Struthio camelus: one gene and its partner. The protein of the gene in region 1 purifies or fractionates together with the protein of each later gene. This does not show direct contact. Links are inferred from orthologs where the notes say so. Each region holds a gene or a part of one and is shown on either strand. Other genes may lie near its edges.

The links. Proteins that work in one complex are often made in the same cells at the same time.
Region 2: the proteins of MED26 (region 1) and POLR2D purify together in Homo sapiens (affinity purification with mass spectrometry; 3 studies listed by BioGRID and IntAct, with this or other methods). This does not show direct contact. The link is inferred for Struthio camelus from reciprocal best matches to the Homo sapiens genes MED26 and POLR2D.

The regions. Positions count from the first base shown.
Region 1 is NC_090967.1:5,333,565-5,341,432, forward strand, and holds the start of MED26 (mediator of RNA polymerase II transcription subunit 26), read right to left. Parts: upstream 3,029-7,868; 5' UTR 2,984-3,028; coding exon 2,909-2,983; intron 2,380-2,908; exon of another isoform or gene 2,233-2,379; intron 1-2,232. Other genes in the region: SMIM7 (small integral membrane protein 7), read right to left, coding at 6,370-6,385, 7,008-7,098, 7,838-7,868. UniProt on the Homo sapiens protein: Component of the Mediator complex, a coactivator involved in the regulated transcription of nearly all RNA polymerase II-dependent genes.
Region 2 is NC_090950.1:6,489,232-6,496,339, reverse strand, and holds the start of POLR2D (DNA-directed RNA polymerase II subunit RPB4), read left to right. Parts: upstream 1-4,089; 5' UTR 4,090-4,150; coding exon 4,151-4,223; intron 4,224-5,766; coding exon 5,767-5,947; intron 5,948-6,324; coding exon 6,325-6,420; intron 6,421-7,108. UniProt on the Homo sapiens protein: Core component of RNA polymerase II (Pol II), a DNA-dependent RNA polymerase which synthesizes mRNA precursors and many functional non-coding RNAs using the four ribonucleoside triphosphates as substrates.

The sequences.
Region 1 (7,868 bases):
GTTTGCCCTCATTTTTTCCCCCCAAAGGGAAAAGGCTGAATAAGGGAATATATAATACCAGATACCTTGAGTGGCTTCCCAAACGAGACAGTATTTAAGCAGTTTATTTCTTATAGGTGTCCTTTGAAATAAAGGTCATACATGTAAACTCTAAACTAAGTGTGTGAAACTAAGTTATAAGTATGTTCTGCATCAATTACTAGAAGAGATCTCAAGCGCTAAATGCATCTGTACAATTAAAACAGGGCTTAACGCAGTGGTTAAAACAAAGATGAACAATTGGTGCAGAAGATGACTTCTGATAGCAAGCAGGTACCAAGAACCTGGGGAAAAGATTACTCTGAACAACTAAACTCAACACAGATAGGGCAATTTATTTTTTATTTTGTTAAAGCAGGACATCAGAGTTACTCCAGCTCTGTATGCACTTCAAAGACCTTTACAGTTACATTGGGATATCCACAGAAGAGAAACAGCTTGTATTAGAGAACATATCAGTGAAGCTTAAATTCAAATCATCCCAAATTAAAGCACTACAGAGAATAGTCTTCCCTCTCCTCACCCTCACAAAACTGGATTGGCCTTCTGCACACGTGAGGGTATCAGGGCAGTTTTCACCCTTACTCCCCTCCAGAAACATGCACATATACACAGCAACAATTATATTGGAAAAGTCTGAATGAAATCCAGGCCTCACAGCTTGTCTTTCTTGGTAAACAAGGAAGTCAATCACAATAATGAATACTTTTAAGTTTGAATGCAAGCACTTCTTTTAACACAAGAGTCTAAAAGGCCAGAAGAAAGGAGCTACAATTTTCTGCCAGTGCTAACAGCACTGCGGCTCAAAGCTGCATTAACTTCTTACTGCAGGAAAAGATTATCAGAGCAGTTTCTTATACTTTCACATTGGGACTCGAGTCAGATTCAATTCAGAATTTACTTTTAAAAGTGTTCAAGATTTAAGTTTTTTGTTCCCTTCATGAAAACAGCAAGACAGGTAGTTTTATCTATTGTTTACCATCTATTCTACAGGCTTCAGAGAAAAAAAAAACCTCTGACATCTAAGTCTGCACCAACTAACCTCAGCTACGCCAGTCTCATTTGAGGAAGAGGTTAAAATGGAAGACAGCCCCCTGCCTACAGGCATTTCTAAACAATGGGGCGATTTTTCCACCACTAATTATTGCCCTGGATAAGTATCAAGTATGTAGAATTATAACTTAATATACACTACTCTTCAAGCATATGCGGCTACTGACCTGTCAGAAGCTCAGCAGAGCTGCTGGCTGATGCTCTACTTCCCTTTGCAGAGAATTGTCTAGTTATTTCTGAACCCCCTCGTCACAACCAAGCTGGAAGCACTCTTAGAGGCATCAGAAAATACAGCATTATTTAGCATTAATGGATGGGGAAAGGGAGAAGTATCCATCATAAAATATATCTCCTGGTTACTTACAGCCACAGTGTTTTAGAAAGTAACACCAGAGGTAGGAGAACCAGGGCTGCCAACAGCTTTAAAGTTAAAAGAAGCCACAGATCTCTTAAGAGTTTTATTAAACTAGGTAGGTGCTCAGTCTAATGTCAAGTGAAAAGACTGCAGCCACCAAGAGAACCCAGAGCAAACAGAATTCATGAAGTATACAGACATCTCACTAAGAACCGAGTTAAAGTACTGCAAACTTGAATAACTTTGACATTTAAAAGCCCACAATTGCCATTACAATTCGTTACTGTTACTAGAACATGTAATGCTCCTGCTCACGACAGATGTACATCATAGTAGATTACTCAAGAAATTACAAGGTCAGGGTGATTTTTCTTCAGTTTTCATGCCACACACAGGCTGCTCTAGAACGTTTCCAAACTGCAAGAACTTTATTAGCTACTTCAAGATTGCAATACACATCTAATACCGAATATAGTTATTAAGAGGAAAGAAGTATGACTTTAATAGAGTCAAAACCTTGTTTTATATACCCAGCCTCCTGGAACTGCCATTCAGTGCGACGCACCCTTAGCTGTGCCCGCCCCCCCCCCCCAAAAAGCCACAGATGGTCAAGCCAAACCCACCTTTGCATCCTGCTGTAGTGACTTTTGAGCTAAGATTTAGCAATCTGACAGATTGCAGACTCCGCAGTCCTCTCCCAGAAACAAACGCCTAAGCGGAAAACTGCTTTAACATGCCAAAAACCTTAAATGGATTAAATAACACTTCAGATAACCGCAACTTACAGGTGAAACCCACTTACAGGTGAAGCAAACGCCGACTTCTGCGCTCACGCTACATCCCAGAGCCAGCGGATAAGCTCATTAGCGCCGTGCGGAGAGGGATAAAGGCGAGGAGCGAGCCTGCCCTGCGCCAGAGCCGCCAAACCACCGTCCGGCGCCTCCAGGCGCCCCGGTACGGCCGGCCGGGGGGGGCCCCGGGCCCGAGGAACAGGTGGGCGCCGCGGAGGGTCCCGGCGAGCGGCGGCGGGAGCCGGCCCAGAGCCCCCTGCAGGCCGCGCCCGAGCCGCGGCCTGGCGTCGGGAGGCCGCCGGGCCGCACGCCGCATGGCCGGGCAGCGGCAGCCGGCCCGGGGCGGGGGGGAGCGGCGGAAGGACGCGGCCCCCCGGCAGCGGAGAGACCGCCGGTTCCGGTACCGGCCCCGCCGCGCGGAGCAGCGAGGCGCCGCGGGACCCCCGGCGGGCACGGCGCCGGCGGAGCTCCCCGCTGCCGCCCGCAGCGGAGGCTTCCGGTGCCCGGGGAGGAGCCGCGCCGCAGCCGGGGTCCCGGCGGGCGGGCGGAGGCGGCGGCCGCGCGGCCCACGAGCCGCGGCGGGACCCCCCGGGCGGGAGGGGGGCTGCCCGCGGCCGGCGTCCCCCGCGCTGCCGGCACCCGAGCGGCGGGCGCGGCGGGCCGTACTCACGTTGCTCTGCGGGTCGATGGCCTGCAGCAGCCGGTCCCTGATCTGCTGCGGGGAGGGCGCCGGAGCCGCTGTCATTGCCTGGGCGAAGCGGGGCGGCTGCGGCCGGGGCGGGCGGGCGGCGGGGCCGGGCCGGGCCGGGGCGGCGGCTCCTCACTCGCCGGCGGCGGCGGCGGCGGCCTCCTCGGGGAGCCGGAGTGGCATGATCGCTCCCCGCCAGGCGGGGGAGGGGGGGGGAGCGGCGCGCGGGGCGGGGCGGGGCGCGGGGGGGCCGCGGCGGCGCGACCGGGCCGGGCCCGACTGTTCCGCTCGGGGCCGAACTCAACTGTGGGCAGGAGCCAGCCCCGCGCAGGGCACCATGGGACACGCCCGACGCCGTTACGCACGGCGCGCCTCTGACGTCTGCCGCCGTACGGCGCACGCAGCGGCGGGCACGCATGCGCCGCGGCGGCGGGGGTGGCGGTGCAGCGCATGCGCAGTCGGCCGCGAGGTGCCTGTCGGGGGGAAGGGGGGGGCCGGCCCGGCGACGGGAGCCGTCCGGGGCGGGGGGGGGAAGAAGCGCGTGGCGGGGCCTGGTCTGGCCGCCGTCTCGAACCGGTGCGGCGGTTGGGGGCAGCCCCCGCTCCCCCCCCCCCCGGCAACCGGCGCCCCCGCAGCGCAGGGGAACGAAGCACAGGACACCCTCGGGACGCCAAGGCGTTTATTTGCAAAGGTTTGAATAGTCCCTGCTCTGTCAGCACTTCTGGGAGTCATCGTCTACAAGAGGCAGTTCCTAGATGTCCGATGTGAAGACACGTTTTAGATATATATTCATTTCTCCTGCATCTATGTACTTGAAGAATTAACCTTAAGAGATGTAGCCCAAGAGTCAGTGTTGGGTATCAGAGAAAACCCACTCTCAGCAGCTACTGTTCAGTACCGTGTAAATCTGTACACAGCTTAGGTCCAACTGAAAGATGGAAATAAACAAAAAAATACTTCCTCTTCTGCAGTGTACCGTTTAAAAAAAAATGCTTTTACTGCTTTCCTCACCCATGCTGTCTCTTAGCATCTCTTCCTAGGGCCATTACTCAGCTATTAAAGACACAAGGCAAACGCACACATTTTGAGGCCTTAGTTTATGCTTGCAGGAAGGTGATACACACTCCTACTTGCTTGTGAAAAGTCAAATGTGTTCTGAAAGAAATGATTTCCAATTCCAAACTCACAAAAGACTAAGAGAAGTTTTTGCCTAGTAGAGGAACTTCAGATTTTCATTATTTTCAAAACAACGGGTGAGGTAACTCTGACATTACATACAAACTATACATAGATAAACTTACAATTGCTATGTGGAAAGAGCTAAGCCTACAAAATCTTAACAAATACCGTTCTGTTCAAAGACATATTTAACTTGTCTCTTCTACTGCCTCTCCTTGATTCTGAAGAAAGCACAAGTTAGGTTTTTAGAAGCTTATCATACGTAATTGGACTGAGTACAAAAGCAAATGTACAAGATTTTGTACTGATGGACATCGGACGTGACAATTGGTAAGCAGTCAGCCCTTCCACAGCATTTAAGAGCAGTTCCAAATTAACTACTCTCGTCATTTCTAAAGCAGTTGGATGGGAGCAGAACGACTACCTTTGAACTTCTGTTCTTCTGAAGAACTGAAATTTTGGGGTGACAGCACTCAGTATTAATCTGCATTATCTATTTGGAGCTTTAAAATTGTGTATTTTCCTTTACCAGTAGAGTTTGATCATCCTCCATTCCCTGTGTTCGCCATATTCAAAGGGTCACTCAGAAAGCGGAATATGAGTTCTGCACAGGAACAACCATTTTTCTGAGTGAGAATTAAAACCCAGAGTCTGAAAATGAGACCCGAGTGCTTCTCTGCTGACTATAAGGGCCCTCTAGTGGCTTAGGCATAAAACTGATAAAAACTTCTTACAATCTCTGCCATGTACATTTCACTGAGGAAGACTCAGCTGAATGAACGTTAGGGAGAAAATGCTTTCCAAGGATTATATAAAGCAGTGGACTTGTCTGGATGCCATCTCACAGATACCATGACAAGAACAGCACATTACTCTCTTTTACTCATTAAAAATACATTAGAAAAGAGTTAAGGTATAAAATACAAAAATTACACACAAGACATCTCCTATAATTTAGCCGAAGATTGTAAATGCTTCTGTGCAATACAAACCTCTCTTGAAGGATCCTTTTCTCCATATATTCGTCTATGTTCATGACTGCGAGGCATCCCCAAAAGAGCGGATGAACACTTTGAACACTTCAGGTAATACAAAAATGCATCACTGGAGTGAACTGCTGCGAGCAGATGACACCTGTGTGCTGACTACTTGGCTGCATCCAGATAAAATTCAAGGTATTGGTTAAAACCAAGCCTCGGTTTAAAATCTTGAGGCCTCTCTTTCTTCTCAACAGTTACATAGCTGAAGAAATTGAGGCTGAGAAAGTTCCACTAATAGTTTTCACTTTGTTTTAAAAGATAACCAGCACTGCACTCTGTCAAGTTATTTTGGTGATGCTGGGGGAAAGTTATGAGTCAAAGAGGCTAACAACATAAATAAATACCATCAAAAGCCAGTCACAGTTGCAACACAGACTAGTTAAAATTTCTCAGAAACATTGATACTGAATTGATTTCTCATGCAGTAGAATGAACACGGACATCAAACACATTTTTACCCATGAATAGAACCTCTATATTCAACCAAATCCAAAATGATTCCAAAACTGTTCCTTAGGGTTGGCATATAGAACAATTTCTGCAATTTTTCTATTCAACTCCTCCTACGTTTTGTTTAGGAAAAAAACACCATCTTTGAAATTTTAATTTAAAAAGCATTTTGTTGGAAAAAATAAAGAGAATCACATGTTTTTCATCATCTTTGTGTATTTCTCAAACAAACTAAATGTAACAGTGAGGAAAAAATGGACGCTGTTTTCAAACTTAAAACAGTATAATACTTTGCTCAACTTTATAAAAATGAGAATAAAGAAGTGAGATTTCAAGTAACCTAGACAATCATGACATTGGCAGACACGTCAAGAGCTGGGAATGACTAAAACTGCACAGTTTTAAGTCTGTGGTCTTCCATTATGCTGCAATTCTACACTGAATACTAAGCACCATACTCTAAGCCAACCAAAACAATTTAAAGTTCTCTATTTGAGTAACGTTGAAATGATTTTACTTTGAACATTTTGGCTCAGGAGCCTAAAGGCTTACTTCCCCAAGCAGCAAGCAAACCAGCATAAGCCATGTAATTATACGACTGACTGAAGAGGATGAACGTGTCCTGTCCCTTTAATATTTTAGAGCTTGTACTGAAGAACAAGCCACAATCCCAGGGCAGTATTTTGAAAGCATTATGGTCTTTTACTTTACAGAAAAGTTATGTTTCCAGCCAAAAGTCTCTTCCAAGTTAACAGACATGTTTGTGGATGACTTTCAAGATCCAAATAACCTAGTGGACGCAACAGAAAAAAGTAGATGAGAATTGGGTACAACCATTAATAGTCATAGCAACGCCATTCCAGCTGGGTGAAACACTAGCATACATCTGGGCATCAGTTCTGCCCTCCCATACATCAGAACATACAGCTACATAAGTGCAAAAGAGGAGATATTTGCTAGCCTGCCTATCAGGACTTACATCTGTGGTTTCCAGAGACTATTTGCAAAGCTGATTCCATTCTGCTACTTGGGAGGACTTTTACCGTTTTCTTAATTTTAGGGAGGGAAAAGTTACACTGAAATGCTGAACCAAATGATGATGCATCTAAGCAACACACAGCGAGAAACCCTATAACTAAGACTAAATGACTTACAAACCAGCAGAGAGATTTTTGTGTACTACAGGTTGAACGCATTAGCAAAAAAATTGTGGAGTCAGTCAAGTCTTTGAAGATCAAAGTAGACATAAGTAAAATGAAAAGTAGCTAAGGAACAAGTGGAGAGAGGGAGAGAGAGAGAGACAGAGAGACAGAGAGAGGGATAAGAAAAAAAGGTAGTTGCAGTAACTCCCCCCCCCCCAAGTATATAACTTTGGATAAACAAATGACAAGATGCTGCACAGCTCTACTTACACAATCATGCAGAACATCATGAAGACGTTCCACAAGGCAATGAAGATTCGAAAATATCTGAGACTCAGCAAGAACTCTCTGATGTTGTCACCTGAAAATCAGGAGAAGAAACTTTTGATGTGAAAAACGCCTTGTACATCAATAATTCACATTTTCAGCTGGAAAACACAAGCAACTCTCAGTTTAAAATAGAAGGAAAAAAAAAAAGTCAGTGAGCAAAAAAAGACAATTGAAAATTTAGGCAACAACGATCCATACTACATGTAGTACATCCCTACCATGAACTTCTGGGAAAATACGTGATAAAAAGAGGTCACTGTAGTATTAGAAAGAGAGGACAGTCCTTTGTGGTAGTCTGCAGCTTTCCTGTCACTTTAATCATTACAGCAGTAAGAGATACAAAGGAGCAACGCAGGTGCATGAACAGTGATATGGAAATCAGGCTGCAAGTACAGCATTACCTCTGCAGCACAGGCACCTAAGCTCAAGAATGCAAAAAGAAATATACATTTTTATGTTTCTTCTTGACTCACAGACTTGGGATTAACAGTTTTGGCTGTGGTGCCTAAACGTAAATGTCATCGAGTCAAATTTTAAGCCGCAATTTAGTAAACCAGTCATTCCAGCCACAGGGTAACTCCTGTTTGAACAAAACAGGGCAAACTTGTACTTTGGTGCCTTGAAAACGCTTTAAGCAAGAATTTTTCTGCGGAAAACGTCCCTTCCTGTATGTGCCTATATAATTTTGAGGCGAGAAACGCTCTTGTGAGTAACAGCGCGGCACTGGCAGTCACGCAGAGCCGGGCCCCCCGCCTTCCCAGGCCGGTTACCAGTCGTCGGCTCCCTGGACTCTTCGCCGAA
Region 2 (7,108 bases), on another chromosome or scaffold:
GCTGAATTCTGTGGCACGCTAAAAATCCTGAATTTGTAAATCCATTTTAAACTGCCAATTTTGTTTTTGCTTTTTGTCTTCAGGTGTTCTTAAAAAAATAACTTCATTTCAGGAAGAAAAAAAAAACCGCCATCTTTTCAGATTTTTGCTAACTGTTTGAATGTGTGCTTTGGGACAAGAGTAATTGAATTCTGTAATAGTTGTGATGTAAGTACCTCTGGCTTAAATATATTTTCCATACGTTTTCAGGTTATTGCCCATTTCTGATCTATGGCAAGGATCCCACGTTTCCTGTTCGTGGTTCTTGGGAAGGGCAGCCATGGCTACCAATGAAGAACAGGTATATGACCAAAAAAAAGATGGGGGCGAGGATGTGACTTAAATATGCCTGGGAAACTCACTGGCTTGAGAGCAACTCCAAAAAGCGTGCAATCTACCAATTAAACTTCCCTGGAAGACTGAAGAAATGCAAGTAGGCAAAAAATCATTTTCAGTAAATATGCTTCTGGTACTAGTGAAGTAAGAAGGTAAATTCCTTAAGCAATATGAGGAGTGTGATGAGAAGGGTTCTGTGGCTAAGATGAGTTTCATGTGACTCTCATCTGAAATTCTGAAGTCAGCCATAAAACTAGCATCCACTGTTGTCAGACAAGCTACCAAGGTTGTTCTTTCAACTCTTGTCAGCTAGAACACAGTGACTTACGTGTATATTTTTATGGCATATATATATTACTTGATTTTTTCTGTTTGTTTGTTTCACATTTAAATAGTCTGGCCTAAAATTTGTCCAGCATTTTTAATCAGAGGTTCTTTTATGCACGTTGCTCACTGTGACTGTAGTAACACTCAGCAACTCACTGTGCAGATGAGTTCAAGTAGAACCAAACGTACACAAGACTGCATACTGAAAAAGTTCAATCTCTACTAAACGTAGAGCACCAGGATAATTCTCCCAAAGACATTATTCTGTTTTCACTTCTGTTTGAAATAATAAACAAGAAGAATTACTCATTTAGCACTGACTTTCTTCTAAAAACAAGTTGCAAAAGGTGAGGAGAAACTTGTGCAAGTAATCTTCGTTTGAAATATCTTGTAGGGTTTTATTCAAAACACAAAATAGAATTTTATTTTTGGACAAGGCTTATATTAAAAACTCCATAATTGTGACAGAGAAATGTCCTTCTAAAAGACAGAAATTAAAAACAAAACACTTGCATGCAATTCAATCAATTCATGTTTATGCTGATGTACGTATCTTTGCTTTGTAAGTATCGCTCTCAAACTGAGTTGTAGTACATGGAGCAGTGGGATACTATACTTTGTTCCTAAACTGTTTCTGCTACAGTTTGTGACAAGGTGAGCTTTGAATATGTTTTGATGATTGCTCTCGAAACACAAAAAGCCCAAAAGACTTTTGTTCTCATGCTCCTTAAAACAAGTATGTAACCCTATAAACTGATGATCCATACCTAGATTGTCAAACCATAATTTTTCTTTAAATATCGCTAGCCAGATTACTTTTATAATCAGATGAAGTCTGATGTAAATCATGTATTGCACAGCCAGTCAATAATATTTTATGTTTAGATGTCATACATATGTATTAAACTTACCAGATTCTGCAAGAGCCCTTTTTTACTTTGAGGTTTATTATCATTTTATTATTTGATATTAATATAACTTTATATGGCTAATATATGCTCATTCATTATAGTTTTGGATATATAATTCTAAAAGGAGTAAAAATAAATGAAGGTAAAATGCTATGAAAATGTAAACTTGAAGGTTGTACATAGATTTTTTTTTTAAATATAAATTATACTTGAAGAACACAAATTAAAAAGCATTTATCTTATGCAATAGTGGTTCTTATGGCACACATTAATCTGAGCGGGTGAAGTTATTTCCACAGGGGTTTTGAGCTATTCCTATCAAATGCTAGAGATGCTGATGACTTGATGGAAAAAAAAAATTGGGGTTTTGCTATCCTAATCTTACCATTCTGGATCTGTCAAAAAGCTTGAATTCTTAAAAAGCTAGGTTTGTTTGACACTCCACACAAATAATTACTGCTAGAAAGCTGAAAAGGTAAGATGGACTGTTAGGAAGGTAAGATTTCTTTTCCTGGTACATTTGAAAAAAAGGAAGGCTATTACAGAATACTCTCTGTGCTTAAACTGTTAATGAAACCTCCTTGTTATTAGTTCCTCCTCTATTTTATTACATTGAGATATTTAGGTAAGTGGTTTTTGTAAAGATCTGTGTTGGTGCAGTTGTTACTGTGTTTGTTTTTAAACTGTGCCAACACAGAAACTGCCATGTTGGGTCTAACTAACAATCCACTAATACCCTCTCTCCAATATATGTCAGTGCTTTTTGCCCTATAATTGTAACGGCTCTTTTGATGATAAATTAACTTGGTCAAATTGTTTTTTTGCCTCTGTTCATTTTAGGATATGACTAGTGAACATGCACAAAACTTCCTTTTTCACTCACTTTAGTCTACTGCATCTTCCTTTTCTATGCACCTTTTCTAATCCAGTTCATAAATGCTACTGAAGCAGTCATTATAAGAGAAGAAGAGGCCGCTGCGTTTTAAAAAGGGAAAAAGTCAGGCACTTTGTTATGTTTGGTCTGTTTAAGTGACTGAACAAGATTTGTGTGTTATCTGTGTTCTTGAAATGCTGCAAAAAAGATGGGGAAAAAGCAAGTTCCGTGTGTGACTCTTATTTATCTAGCTCTCCAGAACTTAACAAAACACATCCGTGATAATAAATCTTTATCTTTCATGATAGCCACTTTCGTGGTACCTTTAAACCCTTGCAAGTGTTTGGCTTTCTCTTAATTGTTCTAGTTTTCATATACTTAAGTAGAAAAATATTTGTGAAAAAGAAAAAAAAAATCATAACTTAAACCTCCACAAGCTACCTACTCTTTGGAGAATCATTAATGTTCTGAGCAGAGAGGTTATTTGAGAAGCCATTAAGATTCCAAGTTATTTTAAATGCTTCTCTCATCAGTCTGGCCTGGATTTCCTTGTTTTCTTGTAAACCTAGTTGAAATGGTTTAATTTGCCAGATGTTGCCGGAGATATTTTTATTCCATCTTCCTGAATGTCTTTCTGTTTGTACCACTTAACAAATGAGTTTTCTATCAGTTTCTCCACCATACTCCTATATCCAGGTAACAAACGTTAAAGATCTAAGATTTGGTCCCTATATATTCTTATAGCTTATGCTTAGTGTGTTCCTTCTCCCAGCACGTAGGAAGCAATTCACTTAGGCACAGATGCAAGTTCGTGAGAGCAGGAGTTGTTCTTCATTGTGAATCCCCCAACAGTCTATTTTTGCTTTTCTTTAAGGGCACAGAATGACACAGGTCTGATAAGATGATTAAGAGTCTTAGGCTGGTTAGGCACTTGCATGCGAGGTCTCCAAAGGAAAATAGTACTCTGCAAGTTTTGCTGGCAGTGTTCCCACGACGTGGGAGCTATAATGATTTTCAGCCTGCCTACGCGCTTTTAGGGGTCGACAGATTACTGCTAGATAATTCTGCAAAAGGCAACCTCCCTTCCCAAGTGTGTGTACCCTCGCTACTTATAAGGATGCTCGGTATTTATATCGATACAAGCTTAGCTCTATTAATCGCCGTGAACTAGACGGACGTTCTGGTAGGGGCAGTCAGGTTTCCTAGGCTCCCTGACGGCCTTCCGTGCCGGATGAGGCCGGGGAAGGCCTGGGCAGACAGGGGCCTGCTCTGGAGGCCGGCCCGCACCGCGGGGCAGCAAAGGTGTGAGCTTCCCGCTTATCCCCTCAGCGCCCGTCTCAGCGCGAGGGTCCTTCCTCTAGGGTTACCTGGGGGGGAAAATGAGGGCGGCGTCCCTCAGCGATGGCTCGGCAGCCTTCTCTGCTGCTTTACCTACTGTGAGGCTTAGGGCTGCAAAGTCTTGCTAGTCGCTCTGCCTTCGCAGAAACAACGCTCCGGCCCCCGGCTGCTTCGGGCCGCCGGCGCGGGCACCAACCACCGCCGCCGCCGCCGCCGCCGCCGCCGCCGGGCGGGACTCGGCACCCGCCCCGCCTCGCCGGCTCCCCCTGGCGGGGCGCCGCGCCGCGCCTTCCGGCCGCCGGCGTTTCCGCTGCCGGGTGAGGCGATGGCGGCGGGCGGCAGCGACCCGCGGGCGGCTGACGTGGAGGAGGACGCCTCGCAGCTGGTCTTCCCCAAAGGTGCGCGCCGCGGGGCGGGCGGCCTGTGCGTGCCCGCCCGCCAGGGGGGCCGGAGCCGCGCGGCCGTTGGAGCCGCGCGGCCGTTGGAGCCGCGCGGCCGTTGGAGCCGCGCGGCCGTTGGAGCCGCGCGGCCGTTGGAGCCGCGCGGCCGTTGGAGCCGCGCGGCCCCTCTGAGCGGCTGACTCCCCGTTTCCCAGCAGGGATCCCTGCGACGGGGGCTGGAGCTCGCTGATTAGCCCCAGCTCTGCTCAGCCTCCAGATTTCCCCACTTCTTGTTGCATAGCCCCAAACCAAACGTTAAGAAGCAGGGATAAATAAATATGTATTTACAGAACCTGAGGTAAAATATACATATTTGTGGGAGCTAGCATGGCTAGGATAACGTTTTTCTTATTTACGTGCCTCATTGAACATGTATGCGAGAGTAAAAGATGCTTCTCTGTTTTGGGTTGTAGTTAAAAGGTCCTTGATTTTTGGTGTGACTGTCAGTTTGTCTTTAATGTGTCTTGACGTAAAGAGATTGTTTTACTTTGGAAATCTCCTGTGTAGAGCTTGAATTGTAACTAATGATCTTTTCACAGTCTGTGTAATTTTTTTGAGAAAACTGTTCTGGAGCTGTGTTTGCTCCTCGGACATGTCCTGGAAGAGGAAAAATTGCAGATACGCTGCTTATCTGAGTTAGGAAGAAAAGGGTAGTCCTGGCGGACTTTTATTTTGTGTATTTTCCCACTAAAAGCTACATCCTACCCATGACTGGCCTGTGACATTCCCACCCTGCGCAAAAAAAAAAAAAAAAAAAAAAAGGTGCCAGTTCCTTTCTGGTCGTTTTTACCAAAAAAAAAAAAAAAAAAAGCCTTGAGAAGGCACTCTGCAATGCCATCCCCGATCCTGCTGCTTTGAACAGCTCGTATTGCTGATGGACAGCAACGTAATAAAAGATCTTACTGTTGGAATAAATATACTGATGATTATGATGATGATGAGCCAAACTAAGGAGAGCTGAGCTACTAAAAAGGGGGAAAAAATCTGTTAAGATAGGTTAAAACTTTTTTCTGTTAATACAGAATTTCAGTGGGTCAATTAGGATTTCAAGGAAATGAAACCTTTTTGAAAAATGTTCAGCAGCATCCATGTTTAATTAAGAACTGCATGGAGGCCTTCCGAGACCATAAATGCCACTTCTGATTTTTCTGCATATTCTAAATATTTTTTCCTAAAGCAAGTAATACGTTGCTTAAGTTCTACCAAGAAATGAGTGAAGAGAACACGTTGCAAAACCGTACAAATCCGGTGGTTATGGCTGTGAATGTAAAACATGCGGCCAGAAAGACAAACATCACGCAAAATGCTGTAATTTTTATCTTCATATTCATTATGAAATACAGTCCAATTATTGATGCAAAGGCCTTGCTCAATTACAGTGAAACACATTGTTCGTTTTCTTACTGTCCAAAACTAGATTTGCATACAAAACTTCTATAAATGGACATTTTCATCCATGCTTTTTCTTATTTTCTGCTGGTGTTCACTCATTCACGTGAAGAATTTGAAACTGCGGAAACTCTTCTGAATTCAGAAGTACATATGCTTCTGGAGCATCGGAAGCAACAGAATGAAAGTGCAGAAGATGAGCAGGAGCTCTCAGAAGTGTTCATGAAAACTTTGAATTACACAGCCCGCTTCAGCCGCTTCAAAAACCGTGAAACCATTGCCAGTGTTCGCAGGTGAGTGGAGGAGTTAGGATACAGGATTATACTGGGGACTTTGATACGTTATGTTGGTGCTGCTTTATGAAAGTACAGTTTAGTGGTGTTTTCTGATTTGGACTTCTATATCTTGTTTTTCTGGAGAGGCAAGAAACTCGATCTTTGTAGAGAGTTTTACTTGGTCTAAGGTCAGGCCTTCTGAGTGGCTTTGATATCAGTATTTAAATGACAGCAGATTGGAATAAATGAAAATATTTTCTGGACTACATGGAGAATAATTCTGTGGAATTGGGGTTAATGGCTGTGATATTTTTTCTATGTTCAGTTATGCCCTTTTATCTTTTTTATTTTTAATCTTACCTGTAATTTCACCACCTTGTTGTCTTTACCTACAGTTTGCTGCTCCAGAAAAAGCTCCATAAATTTGAATTAGCATGTTTGGCTAACCTGTGTCCTGAGACAGCTGAAGAAGCCAAAGCTTTGATTCCTAGGTGAGCGTTTAGATAGGCTGAAGAGACCGCCTTATAGTTTGCTGTGGTGTAAGGCTAGCTATGGACAGATACCTTCTCTTCGGTCCATCTGTGTCAATGGAACAACCAACTCGTTGTCCCCATCTGTATTCACCTCCCCGTTGATCTGTTGGAGGGGTAATCTTTTAAGTGTCCCTAATATAGTGAAGATAAATGCCGACTGGACTAAGCGTAAACAATTTTAGTGGAGGTTTTTAGCCTACCCGGATATTTTTTTATTTCCTTGAAGCGAACGACACAGTGCTCCCGTGGACTGTTCTGTGGATAATGTACAAGTCAGACAGCGACTTCTTCCATTCTCCTGTCTTGTTTTTCTAGCTTATAGCCTGAGCTACAGGAAGAAGTGAAACATTAATCTGAATTATTGTTTCCTCCCATGTAAGCTAAGATTTCATAGTCAGCTGGACTGGTTTATGAGTGTAAGGCTACATGGACTTCATTCAGAGATTTGTTTAAACCTTCACCTGCCTTGCCTTTTTGATAAAATGATTTGAAATTGTTCAGCAAAACGTTATGGAAAAGATAGCGTTTGCTAATTTAGAGAGGAGGCACGATATAGGGCTTAGAGCGATATCTGTTCAGTAATGTTACAGAGGGTGCCTCGTGGGCACCATAAAGGTGGGTAATGATGGCGTGGAGACTTACAGGA